4 linked regions of the Saccharomyces cerevisiae S288C genome follow. Changing the gene in region 3 together with the main gene of any one other region gives a genetic interaction. Each region holds a gene or a part of one and is shown on either strand. Other genes may lie near its edges.

Evidence for each region.
Region 1: mutations in NNF2 (region 3) and GOS1 together harm fitness more than expected from each alone (negative genetic interaction), as found in Saccharomyces cerevisiae (3 studies listed by BioGRID).
Region 2: mutations in NNF2 (region 3) and GDA1 together harm fitness more than expected from each alone (negative genetic interaction), as found in Saccharomyces cerevisiae (3 studies listed by BioGRID).
Region 4: mutations in NNF2 (region 3) and COP1 together harm fitness more than expected from each alone (negative genetic interaction), as found in Saccharomyces cerevisiae (3 studies listed by BioGRID).

Annotation. Positions count from the first base shown.
Region 1 is NC_001140.6:38,315-41,450, forward strand, and holds GOS1 (Gos1p), read right to left. Parts: upstream 1,173-3,136; coding exon 501-1,172; downstream 1-500. Other genes in the region: GUT1 (glycerol kinase), read right to left, coding at 1-194; ECM29 (Ecm29p), read left to right, coding at 1,770-3,136. UniProt on the Saccharomyces cerevisiae protein: Involved in transport from the ER to the Golgi apparatus as well as in intra-Golgi transport. It belongs to a super-family of proteins called t-SNAREs or soluble NSF (N-ethylmaleimide-sensitive factor) attachment protein receptor.
Region 2 is NC_001137.3:72,137-75,843, reverse strand, and holds GDA1 (guanosine diphosphatase), read right to left. Parts: upstream 2,074-3,707; coding exon 517-2,073; downstream 1-516. Other genes in the region: GTA1 (Gta1p), read right to left, coding at 2,496-3,707. UniProt on the Saccharomyces cerevisiae protein: After transfer of sugars to endogenous macromolecular acceptors, the enzyme converts nucleoside diphosphates to nucleoside monophosphates which in turn exit the Golgi lumen in a coupled antiporter reaction, allowing entry of additional nucleotide sugar from the cytosol.
Region 3 is NC_001139.9:655,031-660,321, reverse strand, and holds NNF2 (Nnf2p), read right to left. Parts: upstream 3,363-5,291; coding exon 552-3,362; downstream 1-551. Other genes in the region: CTT1 (catalase T), read right to left, coding at 4,000-5,291.
Region 4 is NC_001136.10:194,042-200,198, forward strand, and holds COP1 (coatomer subunit alpha), read right to left. Parts: upstream 4,136-6,157; coding exon 530-4,135; downstream 1-529. Other genes in the region: LDB17 (Ldb17p), read left to right, coding at 1-184; YDL144C (uncharacterized protein), read right to left, coding at 4,621-5,691; chaperonin-containing T-complex subunit CCT4, read left to right, coding at 5,955-6,157. UniProt on the Saccharomyces cerevisiae protein: The coatomer is a cytosolic protein complex that binds to dilysine motifs and reversibly associates with Golgi non-clathrin-coated vesicles, which further mediate biosynthetic protein transport from the ER, via the Golgi up to the trans Golgi network.

The sequences.
Region 1 (3,136 bases), on a different chromosome or scaffold from region 3:
TTGAACAGAATGCATCTGGATGAGGTCGTTCCTACATCAATACTGGCGATAAGCGGGACGTAGTCACTTCGTAAATCTTCCATTATTTTGGACATACGGCTCTGTTCTTGTTTTAAACTAGTGTAAAGGCGCTGGCTTGATCGGAATATGTAACGTTTGGAGAATACTACAAGTCGGAAGAGAGAGGGAAACATATAACTATTTGTATAGTTCCGGCCACAACTCAAACCACATGGTATATTTTATATGGTTCGAGAACAGGCATCCCCCCACATTTTATTACACCTTATCCGTTCTAAAAGTCTTGGCTGTCTTTTTTTCCTTTCCTTTTCCTTTTTTTTTTTTCAATTTTTTTGTCAATGCAGTCAGCCCCTCACTATGCTACTCCACACCCTTTAATTGATGGTTTTACTCCAATTAGAAGAGAAGAATTACGAAATGGCCTGTATGGGTAGATTCTTGTTATGTTTTTACATACGTTGTTTAATAAAAGTCGTTATTTACCATGTGAAAAACAAAAACAGTATACAAAGGGTGGTTATCGTGGCCAATACAAACGCGTTTTTCTTCCTTCTCGTGTTAATCTTCATAATAAGCTGATTGACACCTGGTATTCTTTGTAAAGTTTGCAACACCTTGTTGTTTGCCGTGTTCAGCACGTTGCTCTGCGAGTGGAACTGCGACCGAGTCTCCCAGGCTTGGGAGATGAGACGGTCGACTACGTTGTTGGACTGATCGATTCGCCTTGTTTCGTTCTGAATGTACTCGTCAGCATCCCCTATAGGAGCTGGCGCGTCCGTTGTGGAATTAGCAATATCGTTCTTCACGCTGAATAACAAGTTTAGTCTGTTGCGCTCTTGCTGGATGGAGGACCTGATATTGCGGAAGCTCTTCCAGTGGTCTTGTAAGATCTCCTTGTGGCGGTGCAGTTGGGAAAGCTTTGAGGCGGAGATTGCCGGGTTAGAATCGCAGATTTGTGTTAATGAATCGATTACATCCTGTCTCTGGCCTAAGATTCCCTCCAACTGCTTGTCTATCTTCTTTTCTTGGCCAGTTTGTTCTGAACTAGTTGTCTGCGCGAATGTGGAGTACTTGGAAAGAAGTGACTCCGTTTGTGTTTCTAGAGAAATGGCCTTGCCCCTTATGGTGACGAAAGACGGTTGTGAGCTCATGTGGTGTGGTTGCTTGTCTGGAATTGGGCTTTTCCCTGTGTCTAGTTAGTTTATTTTTTCCTTGTCTTTTTATCTCTTTTTTTTTGTTTTTCGTTCTCTTTATTTTCAACAACGCCTAGAAAATTTGGTTACCAACCACACTATTGAACAAAGATAACTAACTGATTGAACAAGAGTAGGCGTCTTACACTGGGTTTGCAAGTGTCATTGACTTTTGTTGCATTGCTGTGAAATGCACATTCGGAGCAGTTGAAGGTCTCTTGCTGAATGCTCACATATTTTCAAAATATTGTTTTGGCTGCGGAGTTTGTGCCTGATCAGTAACTACCAATCTCGTGAGATTTTTCATAAGCATCTTTGAAAGCTTTTATACTTATTTGATCTTTGTATATATCAGGTTTTACCAGTTTAGCCGCCAGAGTTTTGGTATTTATGTGTTACCCGGTATATCCATATGCCTTTTCTTGGTGGCAAAAAAAAGGTACTTCCTGATATAAAGAAGCTGGTAAGCTCTCGATAACTGATCTCTTTGTCTTTGTGCAGGATTGGATAATACAATAATTATAGAAAAGTTTCTATTTCACCACGAACAACATTATGTCCATTTCTTCTGACGAAGCGAAAGAAAAACAGCTCGTGGAGAAGGCAGAATTGCGCCTGGCTATCGCAGATTCCCCTCAAAAGTTCGAAACTAATCTGCAGACTTTTTTGCCTCCATTATTACTAAAACTCGCCTCTCCACATGCCTCCGTTAGAACAGCAGTATTTTCAGCCTTAAAAAACCTCATTTCTAGGATAAATACGCTGCCCCAGGTTCAGCTTCCTGTGAGGGCGCTTATTGTCCAAGCAAAGGAACCCAATTTAGCCGCTCAACAAGACTCGACCAATGTCCGCCTTTACAGTCTGCTACTGGCGTCTAAAGGCATAGATAGGCTTTCCTTGCAAGATAGACAGCAGTTGCTACCGTTAGTCGTTTCGAACATCTCGTGTCTAACAGGCACAGTAGCCGCCAGAATGTTCCACATCCTTTTGAAGCTTATTTTGGAATGGGTTGCACCCCAGGAGTCTTCACATGAGCAGGAAGAATTTGTTCAGTTCCTTCAACTGGACAACGACGGTTTTTCGTTTTTGATGCGCCAATTTACCAGGTTTTTTCTGCTGGTACCTTCAAAGCAAGTCCAGGTTTCTCAACAGCCCCTGTCGAGAGGTTACACATGTCCGGGCCTATCTCTAACTGATGTGGCATTCTTTACTTATGATGCGGGCGTTACTTTCAACAAAGAACAGCTGAATAAGTTCAAAAAGGCTATTTTTCAATTTGTTTGCCGTGGCATGGCGGCTACCCAAACTATTGAGCAGTCACCTAGGATGATTGAACTGATGGAATTTTTGTGCGTTGTCTCTACGGATTCTACAAATTTATCTGATGATGCGGCTCAGTTCATGAAACGGTTTCCCATGCCTTATGAAAACGAAGAGTTCATCACCTTTCTTCAGACGCTGTACATCGGCAACACAGCAAATGGAAGACCGCCGGTCAAGGCTATCTTGCAAGAAAAAATCCTGTCCATATTAAACAGAAGTCACTTCGCCACCACCAAAGCAGAATGTATTTCGTTGATTTGCTCTATTGGATTGCATTCATCTGAGTATAAACTTAGATCTTTGACTCTTTCTTTTATTCGACACGTAGCAAAATTAAATTACAAAAATTTAAATCCTGCTTCTTCATCACCTTCATCAACAGACTTTTCCACTTGTATTGTTTCCTTGATTAGAAATAATCTTCATGCCGAAGGTTGGCCGAAGTTACAATTGGGGCCTCAGACCCCAGCTTTCAATACAGCCATTCTGCAGAGACAGCTGCAATATGAAACATTGGGTGATATCTTGAAAAGAGATTTTGAGCTTGTAAGTGACTTATCCTATATTGAATTTCTATTCGAGTCCTTGAAAAATGACTT
Region 2 (3,707 bases), on a different chromosome or scaffold from region 3:
CCTGATTGTAGGTTTATTTATATATATAATATCAATAGCTAGCAGTTTATTAAACGACCTGAAATGCAGTTTCTTCGATCACCAGATAAGTCCGATTATCCTTTTGTTTTCGATTTTCTTGAGGACCGGTGTGATATCCACAATCACCCTAAAACTAAAACAAAGCCATATAGTCTTAAAACAACGGAACAATCCATAACAAAAGTATATTAAATTATCTCATATGTTCAAGATTATGAGGTCCTAACAGATAACTCTTCCAGTTCATACTCAAACACCTGAAGGCGTGGCGGGCTTTTACCAAAAATGGATAAACCTCGGAAGGCCTTTTCAATCCCCTGTCTTGGCGGCGGTGTTATAATAAACTATTGTGGGGATAATAGTGATTTTCATAACGTAAAAATCGTTTACATATTGTTCAAGGGTTATAGAATAGGACATATAACAGAATACATATCACCGCAATCTCCTCTTCCTTAATATACATGGGACGAAAAGCGGTGTCCATGTTCTTATTCAAGCTGATTGAATTTTACATTTCCAGTTATCAGCTTTCAACAATGGTAATGACGCACCTAAACACCAACCGATTTCTTTATTGGCAATTTTCTTTCCAGTTCTCAATTCTCTTTGTAATGGAATGTCATATCCCGTATGTAATAAGGACACTTGAAAAGATAAGTCCAAACAGAAGTGCGAGTCACTTTCCAATTCATCTAGGGACCCCGCAATGCCACTGAAGACACTATTCCAAGTTTCTTCGCCTTTACACACTATTCTTGCCAAATCGTTCAATTCATTCAAAGTAAAGGACAAGGGCATACCCAATGGACGGGTTCTGTCGTAGAAATAAGAGAAAATATAGATATCGTTCGATTCTTTGAATGTACGAACTAAAGAAGGTTGGTGAACCCCATTGAAAGAGCATGGTGGAGACTGGCACTGAGCATCTTTATTCAAAATTTCATCAGTCAGAAATCTACATTGTGCACCACTTGGCTCGTCCGGCCCTATAAAGTCAATGGTATAAGTTTCCTTGGATTCTAATGTAACCTTTTCATTTGTGGCATTAACTTTAGGCGGTAGGCATGGAGATGACAATTGATGAGTCTTAGTGTTATCACCCTTCAATATTTTGCCGTCTTTTAATGCATTTTCCACAAGAACAGAGTTAACTTTATTTCTTCCTTCCTTCAAACCGTAACCTAGATGAGAAAATTGGTACAAGGTGTAATTTTCATCACCAAACTTCAAATCAAATTTATGCTCACCATCGACCATTTTTTCATTTATTGGGAAAGTAGGCTCAAAAACAATTTGTGTAGACCCTCCGCCTAAGTCAAAAACGGCAGCAGTAGGTAACTTGGGGCCATTAGCACCGATATTACCTAATAGGTAGTTTGTAGTAATCCAGGCGAAGACACCTTCTTCATCACCGCCCATGATGGAAACACCATCACCTTCGACAACTGGGAAAGGATAGTCCTTCTCCAAATGATCCCTTACAGCGCTCAAAATTTTTGAAGATTTGGCATCACCCAAGAGTCTTAGGCCTGCAGTAGCTTTCACCGCAACGGGAGTACAACTTCTTGCCTTAATAGGGACATAGTTCATTGCTACTTTCAGTAATGGGTCAAGGGAGTTAGCGGCACCAACGGAATCGGTATCGAAAGAAGATAAACCAGGCTCTAACATGTCGAATTTTTCATCAAGTAATGTAGGTGGGGAAGTACAGACGTCAAACTTGTATATATGTACTCGGGAACCGGTAGAGCCGGCATCGATCATGATAACATACTTATGTTCTTCGCTGCATGTTTGACTTGTTTGTGACTTCACAGCATCGGCAAGCTCAGGATAGTTTTGTTCAGTCTTCGAATCTTGAAGGTAACCTGGTTCATCATTGACGGGCAAGATAGAGATGTCCTCCGGAGTTTTGGGAATACTAGCATTAGGAGTAACTGTACGTGCAATAGAAGGTGGACCGATGGAAGATGTTTTAATCAACAAAATGAGCATAATAACGGCAAAAGCACCGATAGCGAACCGGTAATTTCTAAAGATGGGCGCCATGTTTTTTGTGCGATGATGTCTTAATGTTTCTTCTCGAGAGGACCCTTAACTGTTCGCCAATAAAGATTGTTGATTGCAGTCCTTGCCCTTTTTATTAGTGCTTTCTCCTTAAAACCAAAATTAAATAAGCTTGTAAAAGAAACTGTTTTTATATTTGGAAAATCGAAGCACTATGCAAGGAATATTATTAATGTTGACAGTTATTTTTCATGTGTTATGTTTTTCATATTGAAGTTGTAAAAAGATGGGAAAAATGAAATTGAGACGAGACGCCAAAATAAAAAGAAAAAAAAAAAGAAAAAATGAGATTAATACCGTTACCCTATTGATGATTAAGAATAAGCTCAAACTGCTTTCATATATTATGTTTCATAATTTATATATCTACATATATACACGACCTGGAAGTATTATAATATTGTTCATGAGTCGTGACTGTGCGGGTTAAATAGATTATTCATACCGCTCTTGGACAACAGTTTTGACATTCTTCTACCGCTTGGACTAGTTGATGGAGTTGATGAATCTTGAATATCCGTGTCCGCATTAGCAGGTGATGATGCAGACTTGTGCTTAAACTTGGACCATGCAGAAGAAATGCTGCTGTTACTTTGGTTCCTCTTGTGAGAAGGCTTAGGGCTTGGTTCTTTAGCGGGAACCTTTGGACCCACAGGCACATCGAGGTGATACTGCTCCTCCAATGGAGGAGAAAGTTGATTTGTATTTGAATTCCATATGGAGTTGAAAGGTGGTGAAGAGGCATGGAAAGATCTTCGTGTAATGTTATCCGCCGTTGGTTGATGGTTCATTGTTAATATGTTCGAGTGTGAAGGTGTTAAAGTAGTGTTATTGCCTGGAACAATGGGCACATCGTTTGAGAGTCGTGGGCTCAAGTTTGGCACCAATAAATTGAAGTCACTTGATATCCTTGGACTAATGTTCTCGGTTTCATTGCCATTGATATTGTTCTGTAAGGAGTTTGCAGGTTGCGGAGCACTGTAGAAAGAACCACTGCGTACAAAACTTTGTAATGAAGGATCATTCAATGTAGCGGCGAGTAGACTCTGTGGATGCATAGGATTCGTATTGGTTGCGTTGGAGGTTTGTCGCAAATGAGAACTAGAATATGGAGATATTACTGGGTTAGCCTTATATGATGACATAGGTGTTCCAGTCGTAGAGAAAAGACTTTCATTTGTGCTGCGCACCTGGGGTTGCTGCTTAGTCCAGTAATTGTCAAGTTCGTCTGTAGTAAAACCCTTGGAATAATTGCTTATGTTATCAGGATAGTCTGTTTCGTCGTAGATCATATTTTGCAAACCACTGATTAAGTGGTTTGCATTATCGTATTCAAAAGCTTGATCCAATTCTGTAGATACTTGTTGATGCGAAGGTTGAGCGAATTGTGCGGTGGTCCATAAATTTGACCTTGAGTGACCATTAGTTGCTGTTGCTGTTGCTGTTGCATTAGCAGTAGCAGTTGTAGGTAAAGCATGTGAATATGAAGAAGGCTGTTGCTTGTTTTCGTTGTTCGATGAGATGTGATTGGAGAGCATTGATCGATTATCGGTGTCCTGTGTCAATTGACTCAATAGACTGCTTGAAGGTTGTATGGGTTCATTCGAAGGAGAGTA
Region 3 (5,291 bases):
TCCATTGCAATTCTTTCCATGAACTTAGTATAAATTATAGAATATTAGTTTTCGTAGCTTGTAATGTATTTGAATTGGAACCATCTAATTGTTATCTGCCATTTTAGTATTTTGGACAAGCTCCAAATATGTGGTCCTAAGTTCATATCGAGGATACAGATTATTTGGGCCGTATCTTTGATGTCATGGAGAGTAGTGTGGCCTTCCAAGTCCTGGGGCAGCTATTAATTAGGGAATGTTTTGATCAACAACTTAGTGTTAATAGTAGACACAACGATGTGAACTGTTCAATACATCAGCAAACATTCTTAGTTTTTCTCATATTTTATGTTTACTTATGTTAACCTGCATTATTTCCATAAATAACAAAAGGCAAAAAAGTAACAAATGAAGTTATTAGGAAACAATAAAAAAACAATATCGAGAAAAAAACGACTGACTACATTTAAAGTAGAACGTCCAAGTAATAAATACATGTATATATTCAATAGAAGTAAATTTTAGGATGCTACAAAACGAATTCTTATCTATCTTTGTTTTCTAATCTTCCATCAGTAACTATTACCAATTAGACTATGTATATTTTCATTCTCATTTTCTAATCTGTTGATATCTTGCTCTAACCCCTTTATAGTCAATTCAAATTTATTGGCTTCGCGTATCCTGTACTCCTTTCTTCTAAATCTATCCTTTTCTCTTTTACTCAAAAATTGAGTACTGAACTTTTCTATCTCTTCTGCGTTCTGATCGACCTCCTTTTGTAACTTCTCGTTTCTCGCGTTCAATTTGTCCAGTTTAGAGCCTAGTTGAACTAATTCTTGATTGACCTTTTGGAACCTCCCTTCTGAGTTTTTCAGGTCTTTCGATAAGCTTTCTTCTAACTTACTGAACTCTAATTGATTTTTCAAGTGTAGATCTTTCTTTTTCAAGTATTCCTCTTCTAATTCAAGCTCTTTTTCAGTGAGAGTTTTCAATTGCATCTCTAACTTATTTACCGCAGTCTCACTTTGCTGTAGGGCAACCTTCAAATTTTCGACTTTTAAAGTGCTCTTTTCGTCATGTGTTGCGTTCTGTGAAATCCTGCCTTTAAAATAATCAATTTCTTGTCTCAAAAGACTTAACTTCTTGCTGAATTCCTTTTTTGTCTTTTTCAATTTTGTCCTTTCATCGGACAAATTTGCGTTTGTAGTTAGCACGGAATGCTTCAGAGTTAGCAACGGAGATAAGAATTTCCTATGGTAGTATGAAGGGAAGCTGAAATCAAGGTTTTCAAATTTTCCGGCAATCGCATTGTTATTCCCACAAGTCCTTACAATTAAATCAGAAACCAAATAATCATCTCGGTGATTTAGTCTGTTGATGAATTGAATATCATAAGAACAAGAAGGGACTAATCCGTTAACGACAACGTATTCTTCGCCTACATGCTCTAAAATTAAAGCGCAAGAAACTTCTGACCAGATAACACCGTTTACTAAAACAATGAGTTCGCCATCATGTAAATTTTCAATATGGAATGTAATAGAGTTTGTGCTAATATCAATAATGCAAACTTTGTAGTCATTATCATTTCTATTGAAAATATTTTCATTGGTGGAAACTAAATTTAAAAGATTGTAGTCATCAGATGTTGTCTTTGCAATCAGGGCCATAGTATTTGAAGGTTCGAAATTGTTAAACACGCTCTTCTTAAACTTTCCGGCATGGGTGAAACTAATTCTTGATGAAACTGAATGTGTATTAATCGTGTCCAAATCTTTGTCATGTTTTTCCTGATTACTGACGTATGAAGTATTCGAATTTGTTGGTGTTAGTGAATTTTCAGAGGTTTCTTGTAAGTATTTTTTTTCAAAATTCGTTGTTTTTAATGTAACTACCATAGACCAAAGAGGTGCAATCAAGTGTTGATTCTTTCTTCTGAATAGAAGACGGATAAAATTTTCCAAGTTTGATGTAACAGATATGTCTGAAGATAATTTGCTAGAAGAAAACATGTTCCCAAAATCAACATTCAGTTCAAACAGTTGGTTAGTATACTTGTCATTGGAAGGGGAAAAGAAATCAGAATCCTTTTTCGAATTTCCATTCGAGGAATCAGATAGAGAGATTTCATTTGACAAACTAGTGTTATCACCAGAAAAGTTGAACGTTGTAGGAGAGGTTGTTGTACTGGTAGTAGTAGTAACGGCTTGAGAATTGCTTCCTTCAGCAGAGATTACCGATGGCTGATATGACTTATATTCCTTGACCATAGAAGTGAAATAGGGAAAACTAGAAGTAGCATCAGTAGGATAAGAGGCGGCAGGGTTCAAAATATTACTGTGTGATGATAGGGGAACTGGCGAGTTATTTTGTTGGGATGGATGGATAGTTTGATTGCTGCTGCTAAGTCCACCTGGATCGTTCGGTATCATAGGACTTTGGTCCTCTAAAGTGTTCGAATCGGCAGAAACGGAAGAAGAAGAAGAAATTCTCATCTTTTGCAGACCTTGAACACGGGCTACATCTGGTTTAGTTGAATTGAAACCCTTTTTCAATGGCTTGTTTTCCGCTGTTTGTCTATGAGGGTGTAATAAACTTGAAGCAAATGAGAAAAAAAGGATGTGAAAGGATAGATAATAAATCATACTGTCTGAATGTTTGCCAAGCATCTTGAAAGGCATTGGCAAAAATAGAGAGAAAAGCTTTTTGAAAAACTGTGAATACTTGCGAAAAACCGTGAATAATTTAATTGATTGGCCGGTTCCTCGTAAAGACATATCAAATAACTGTATAATGTCAAAGAAGTGTGACACTCTTTGAAAAGTGTTAGTTGACACAGCATACAATACTGAGCATGAAGTTGCATAGCTTAAGCAATCGCTTGGATCATTGATCAAAAATGAGGCAATAATAGAAATTGCCAGATTTTTTATTGGCTTAACAAAATAATCGCCACCGTAAATCTTTAGTAACATTGCAAATAAAATTTCACAAATTAATACGGGGATCGGAATGACGAAGCTATTTTTTGAATTGCCAAAAAATCGTGAATTAGATTTTCGGTTTGAACTACCATTGGTCACTTTGGAAGTACTTATATCTATGTGCGCCACTTCACCGATATGGCGGGAAGGTTTTTTCGATAGGAAAAGTATAATAAAACAATTTGCCAGAAAATCTTTGCATTTGGTAGCAACAATAAAGGAAACCAATAAACATAGGGAAGTGAAGTGGTTAAAACTCAAAAAAACCAGGAACAATGCAAGCGTATCTTTAAACCTATGTTTTTTGGCAAATTCGGTGGGCTGTTCACTCCTTTTAGTGTTCATTAATGACTGTAGATGTGATACTTTCTTCTGATTAGTAAATTGTTCCTCCATGAAAATTGTGCATGGATCCTTTTATGTAACGGAGATAGGTGGAATCTTAAAAAATATTGGGGTGTATATGAATAAAAGTTATTCAGAGTGATTACCTAAAGAGATGGTACGAAAAATGTGGAGATAGAAAACAAAAAACTTTGGTAAGATATTATTATAACAGAAAGAATTTAAAGTTTTCTCTGCTGGTACTCTGTATAATCCTCTTAGTCCTAATAAAATTTGTTTATTCCTCTTTTAATAGAAACTAACGAGTTGTGAAAACCTAGTTATGTTACTTGTTATATTACACCTTCAAGAGGTTTAGGAATTCAACGTTATAAACACACAACTGCATAAGTTAGGCTACTTTTTTTTTTCAGATTGTCCGTATAATGCGATAATCGTTGAGTTCATGCCGATCTAAGTACCGAATTAGAAAAAAATGTGTCAAAAGTAGGCAGCCAATCTGTTTTGCTGCCATATTTTTCCTAACAGGATTTGCTATGTATGAAGTACGATAAGTATGAAATATTAGTGCTTGTACATACGACCAATTTGTAATAACTAGTGATGTAGAGAATAAACTTAAAGAAAACTTATGAATAAATAATTATGGAGATATAATTACGAATAATTATGAATAAATAGTGCTGCCTTAATTGGCACTTGCAATGGACCAAGTCTTGGCATAACCTTCAAGGTCAACAGGTTCCCAAGGAACTCCCAAGCATTCTGCAATGACTTTACCCAAATCTTCGTTTAGCAAACCAAAGTATTGCGTAACTCTCTTTTTGACTTTAGGATCTTTGATCTTACAAGCGTGGCAAACAACGTTATGAACGAATAATTTCTTCTGTTCATCGTTGTATACCTTTTCATATAGAGCTCTTGGCTGTTCGAAGTCTAGTGGACTAATACCATAAACGTAGTAATATTGATTAATTTTGGCATCAACAATATGCTCGTTTCTGATTTGGTCTTGTTCCTGTTTTCTCACAGAAACTTCTGTTACTTCGTCAAGAACTATCCCTTTGAACTTATCAGATACTTCGTCGTTGTCTTCATTTTTGAATTTCAGAGTTTGATTTGGTAAACTGGAAATATAATTTGGCTCAGGACCGAAATTGTAGTAACTCATTGGGCCGTCCCTTTGGAAGTTCACTGCTTTAAATGGACACTGTTCGGCAGTGTATTGGGAATCACCTTTGGAGTATGGACATCCCAAGTTTCTTGGTCTGTTGACGGGCAATTGCTGATAGTTGGCTCCCAATCTATGACGTTGAGTGTCTGGATAGGAGAAAAGTCTGGCTTGTAGAACGGAATCATTAGAAGGCTTAATACCTGGGATACAAGTGTTCGTTGGACTGAATGCAACTTGTTCAATTTCTTGGAAATAATTGTCAACATTCTCCGTTAGGGTGATGGTACCAAATTTTCTCAAAGGGAATTCCTTGTGTGGCCATATTTTCGTTAGGTCATTTACCGAATACCTGAACTTAGTTGCTTGTTCGGGTGTCATTGTTTGCACATAACAGTTAAATTTTGGCTTTTCGCCATTTTGCAATTGAGTGAACAGCTTTGCCTGATTATAATCAGGGTGGGAGCCTGACAGTTCAGCAGCCTTATCTCCAGTCAAGGTTTCAAAACCAGTATCCGACAAGACGTGGAATTGCACATATGTGTCCTTACCTTCTTTGTTGACCATGATGAAGGAATGACCAGAGTACGCGTTCATACTAGCCCACGAAGCAGGAGTACCTCTATCACCAAACATGTAAGTTATTTGATGGATTGATTCCGGATTCAATGTTAGATAATCCCAGTATATGGTAGTGTCCTGAAACTGATTCAGATGAGACTGAGGGTCTCTCTTTTGCGAATGAATAAATACGGGAAACTTAATAGCGTCTCTGAGGAAGAAGACGGGAGTATTGTTGAAGACCCAGT
Region 4 (6,157 bases), on a different chromosome or scaffold from region 3:
TAGAAACTCTAGCATTGTTGCATTGGGGACGCCCGACAATCAAAATATCTTGGCTCGTAAAGGCCATCTTTATAGTAATCGTGAATTAGATGTTTCTGCAGAATCTTTGACTAAAAGAAAGGCTAAAGCTCCGCCTCCGCCTCCTCCTCCTCCTCCATCAAGAAAATGTGGAACTCCAAAATAAGTAAAGCATTATTTCTTCTTGCATTAATGTGGTTCTTCCGACCATTTCTTCTTCTACTCACTGCAGTATCTAATGACACATTGTACTTTTTATATACAAATGCAACAATCGTAACTATAAAACTAAAGTTCGGGTTGCTTCCGAATACATGCTGGCAGAATTTCAGGTTGTGTGTCACTTGTTAAAATAGGCGATATTTTTTATTTTAGAAGTTGTATATAACTGTTAATTACATAGTCAGTTTTTTTTTTTCACTATCATATTGTTTAGATTAAAAGGACTTGTCACATGAAATTTAGGTCGAGCAGAATACAATCCCGAGAAAATCAATAGGCAAAATAGCATTTATACACGTATTCTTAATCCGGATGCAGGTGCACCGATCTTAGAAATCATAGCAATTCTATCTATTTTATCTTTTTCCGTGATAACGTATTTACTACCTGTTAATGGGTCAGAAACGGAAGGTGTATCTTCATAAATTGGTTTGTAGGTGGCTGCACAAATATCGAATTTAGCATAAGGATCAAAGTCAATTGGAATGGCGTCACTGGCCATTGAGTCGGCTTTGTTTTTGATTTTACGTGCTTGTTCTGCACGAGGACCAGAAGAAATAATCTTTAAAAATTCACCGGCAAAATATGAGGCCTGTAAGAAATTTTTGTGTTTGAAATGTTGGGACATAGCCACTTGTAAAGCATTGGTACGATGAATTGGGGATAGTTTTGCCTTTGTAAAGTATGCAGCTAGCTCAAGCATGCGTACAGTATTTCCCTCCTTTAATGAGCGGCGTTCCAATTCAATGGATAAACCTAATATATACTCCCTAGCAGTTTCCAGTATCTTGTGTGCTAATTTTTCATCTTCAGCATCATCGACCATTAATAGCGTAATACGGTAGATAGCTTCTCTGAAGCATTCGATTGCAATATCTGGTTTGTTTAGTTTAAAGTTTTTGTAACCCTCATTCATTTTTTCATTAACGACATCAAGACCTGGCACGTAAGGAAGAATTTGATCTTCACTTACGGTATCATCATACGCTCTGACATAACCTAATTGAGCAGGAAGTTCACAGGGCGTACTAGGAATGTATGTTCTACAACCCTCATAAATGTTGGTAAAATATTTCTTCAATGGCTCCAGCTTGACTACACCCACTTGCTTGCTCAAGGCTTGAACAGCGGCATCAAAGGCACCAGCGGCAACTAGGACAGCAGGCAGTTTAGAATTCTTGATCCAAATGGCTGTTTCAACTTCCTGTGCTGGAGAGGTAATTTCGCCTTGCTCAACTTCTTCAGGTAACTCTTCTCCCACATCCAAATCTTCGTCACCCAAATCCCAGGCACCTTCGTCTTCACCAATATCCTCATCGTTAAAGTTTTCTTCGCCTAGTGGTTCTTCTTGCTCTTGAGTGGTGTTTACTGCTGGAGTTTCATCGTCTATAGTCAAATCGTCAATTTGACCTAAAACAGCCTTTTCAAAGTAAGATAGTTCAGCCTCTTTTAATGGCCATTTTTCAAGTGGCTTTGAGATCACTGGTCTTTGAACGAAGTTGGAGGCATCCATCTGGTCTGGTAAAGTAACATCTTGTTCATCAACTTCAGCTTGCTCCAAGAAAGCAGAAGCAGCCGCTTCATCTCCGTTAGCCTTTGCTACGGCATAAGCTAATGGTAAAGAGCCGCCCTCTGCAAAAATGCTAGATCTTTCCTTGGTTGAATTGTTGTAAAAGGTGTTTAATAGCATACTTCCAAAGTCTTCACGAGTCTGAGCGATATTTTGCATTTTAGATAGTTTGTTAACGTCACCTGTAACTAAATACAGGAAGGAAAGTTTGTCAAAAGAATGTTGAGTTTGATAAATCATTTCAGCTAAGCTGGCATTACCTTGTGCCAAGGCTTCTTGGATTAATCTTTCCCAAGTACTAGAATCATTCAGTTTTTTGGCTTCATCTAAGGCAACATCCAAATTACCGTATTCCAAAGCTAAATCAAAACGGATATGTGGGTCTTGAACGAATTGTAAAGCAATTTCTGGGTAACCTGACTTCTGCAGATAGGAAATGATATTCTGGCCAACCAAATTAGAATCTTTTATCAGACGTAAAACTTCTGGGAAATTTTTGTTAACCAGGGCCTTTTTGAAGCGATATTCTGTAGGATCAATGGTTAAAATTTCAATCTCACCTTCACGGTTCAAGCAGTACACTAATTTTCCCTGAACTTTTGTGATATATAAAGTTTTCTCCAAAGTTTTAATAATACCTCTATCCCCGTTCAATAGTGAGTACCTTATATGATTTAAAGTTGAATAAATTAATACACCAGTTTCATCCCAAGCGGCACTTTTGATTCTAATCGTTTCATGCATAGAATTAATCAATTCTAGCTTTTTGGTAGCCAAAGTTATGGTGTGCTTACTCATCAATGCAACATATTGACCATCTAAGGACCACGAAACGTACTTGACGTTTTTAACAGCCAATTGGGATACTTTTTTGCCCTGTTGGACATCATAAAGAATAACTTCTCTGGGGTGTATGACCAAAACAGATCCAGGACCTGCAGCTACAATAGTTCTTACTGTTTCCTCTACTTTGATATTTCTTGTAACTTTGTTTTCGAGAGAGCGAACTTCAACAGATTCAGTGTTCTTGTTGTAAACAACAAATCTATTACGACCAACAAAAGTAGCAAAATTACCTGTATCTTGGGTGACACTTGTTGGCTCCACAGCTCCAACTGGTTGTTTTGGTAAAATAACGAGAGCAAATTTGCCATTAGCTTCATTAACCAAAACTGAATGTTGGGAGGGATTGTACGATATACTTCTGAATGCATCCCAAGGTTGACCAATACCCTTTAAGGACGCATAAGGTAATGAAGCGACTCTTTTCTGGAAATTGAAACTTTGGATTTGCTTTTCCGCATTGACAAAAAACAACTGGTTTTGATGGATAAAGCTGCATGGTCTTTCGCGATCGAGCTTGAAAACCATAATACCAGAATCGTGAGCTGCACCAAATAGATTGATATGAGGATGTGCTGCAATCAACCAAAATCTATCGTTTTCTCTTTTGAATTGCTTTACTGGAGTTCTCTTGTCAAGATCCCAAACCCTTAGCGTTTTGTCTTCACCGACAGAAATGATCAAGTTTTGATGTGGGTGAAAGATAACACTATCAACATTGTTAGTGTGACCTCTGCAAGTATCAACTTCCCAAGCTTTCGTAGCACTCATTCTCCATAATTTAACTTGACGGTCGTCACTGCCGGAGACAATCAATGGTAAAGTTGGATGGAAAGAGGCCCAGTTGACACCTCTTGTGTGACCCTCTAGAATAAACTTGACAACACAGTCACCAAGAGAGCCATCCAATAGATTTTGTTGTGCACTCATTTGCTCCTCAAATGAACTAGTACCAGGAGCGGAGTGTCTTTTCCTTAAACCGGAAATATCCCAAATTCTGATGGTTTCATCCAGAGAAGCGGAAACGATCAGGTCATCGGTTGGATGAAATTGAGCACACATGACAAAATGATTGTGGCCGGTCAAACATGCAATTTCCTTACGGTTTTGCCAGTTCCAGATTCTTATGGTCTGGTCATCAGAAGCAGATATGATCCAAGGCAGCTCACGGTGGAAAAACACGGTACGGACATAATCCAAATGCCCAGTTAAGGTGTATAGACATTTGTTAGTATCTAAGGACCAAACTTTAATGGTATAGTCGTCACCTGCCGAAACAAAAATCGGTTGGGTTGGATGGAAATCTAGCCCACGAACAGGGCCCTCGTGGTCTTCAAATCTGTGAAGTAGTGTTCCCATCCTGTAATCCCATAATTGAATAGTAGAGGAAAACAAAGCCACCAAAACCCAAGGTCTGGAGGGGTGGAAGGCAATGCCCTTGGCCCTAGTGGACTTTGATTCAAATTTAGTTAACATCTTCATCTTGATCCAGTAATGAAATGAACAAAGACACTACAGAAGAAAAAAAGTATACTGATTTCAGGTTAAATAAACCGCGAATTTGTAAACAGGTATGATAATGTTTTTATTCAAAAGTGTAAAGGGAAGATAAAATAAAAAGAAAAAACTTTATATCTTAAGCAAAGAAGGGGGTAAGTAACAAATGTTTGGAAAATCCTGCTGGTTTCGCCAATTCTATGATTTACCTAATTGCAATGCCTCTTCAAACAAGTTTGTGGTCCCTGTATGCTACTGAATCGAGGCTCAATCGTCACAGTCTCGAAGACGGATCTGTTATTTATTCAAGTTGGCAAATTGTCGATTTCGTTTCGTGTTGTCGAAATTTTCGGTCGCTCTGTACGTCGTATAAATGCTGACAATAAGAATAATAGTTAAGAGTACATACTAAATTATGTGTTACAATATACTAGATGAAGGCTCGTCAACGAGGCAAGCAATGGTTGGAACTACTCGTCCACAAGAGTGGCAGTTTTTTCGTCGAACTTCAATAGGCCTTTCCGCTCCTTTAGTTTGGCCTGTACTAGCACAAGTAGGTTGTATAAGATAGAAAGAGTGGGTGTAGCGACGCCGTTTCTTTTCGCGATTCTTATGGGGTTGCCTAGGATGACTTCTAGCTCCATCAATTGGCCCTTCTCGCAGTCCACGCACATGGATGGCTTGAACACCTTTTTCCTGGTAATCTCTGTAAACATCGTTATGAACTCCTCTTCGATAATGATGCCTTCACTCGCCGCAATGGCGATGATCTCCCTCATGGCAGGGTGGAACACTTCAATTTCTGTGCTCTTCTTGTTAACCCCAAACTCCAGGCAACGCGGAACGTCTAGCCCCACAAGTGCCGTGGATGTGTTGATAGCTGCATTGTAGAGCAACTTCTTCCACCGAGAGTAACGGACCCTAGGGTCAAATTCGACAAAGTTTTGCCCCTCGTTGCTGTACATCCTGACGAAGTCGTTGGCAGCCTGGATAGCAGCAGCGTCCTGTGGATCAAAAGCTCCACACGATAAGTGGTCCTGGCCCACTTGACTGATATGGCCTGACCCGATCTTAGTGGATCCGATTAACTGGATGCCAGAAAGCACCGTGTAACGATACTGCTCTCTGGGAAATTCCGCCCATATCTCCTTCTCAATATCGATTCCGTTCTGTACCAGTAAAATGTGTGTCGTCAATTGCGGCCCATGTAGCTCTTTATTCTTCTCAAGCACAGGTCTGATGATGTTGGACACCCTTGAATTAACGGGCCCATCTATGATGTTCTTGGTAGTCACTACAATATAGTTGTATCCTTGGTTGTCTGCGGCAGAAGCAGCGTCCTCGACGCTGCTGTAAATATGGTGGGGTCTCCAACCTTCTAACCGGCCATAGTCACATGATTCGATTGTGTAGCCATGCTTCAATACCCTATCGTAGTCAGATCTGACTACCAAGGAAACGTCGCTCTCCTTCTTAAGCCACAACGAAAGCGCAGTAATGACCCCAACGCCACCTGCCCCGATAACTAGTATTCTAGACATTTTCGACATTAGCTTATGCCAACTTGTATCCTGGCACCGGGACTGTAGTTTATGAGGTATATCAATATGTCCTAATTAAGGCTATATAATTTGGTATTACTATCACTTGCCACGGGGAAACTGAAATTTTTTTCGTTTCGCCACCAAGAAAGGCTAATTGAATACAGTTCAAGAGGTTGATATAGCTAAGTGGGCATGAAGGTTATGAATTGTAATTGGAGGTGCGGCAAGTGTGCAAGACGGGTAAAGGAGAGTATAGAACGATGTCTGCTAAAGTTCCATCTAACGCCACGTTTAAGAACAAGGAAAAACCTCAAGAGGTTCGCAAAGCCAACATCATCGCTGCACGTTCTGTTGCAGATGCCATCCGTACTTCATTGGGTCCCAAGGGTATGGACAAGATGATTAAGACATCTCGTGGAGAAATCATCATCTCTAATGATGGCCACACCATTCTAAAACAGAT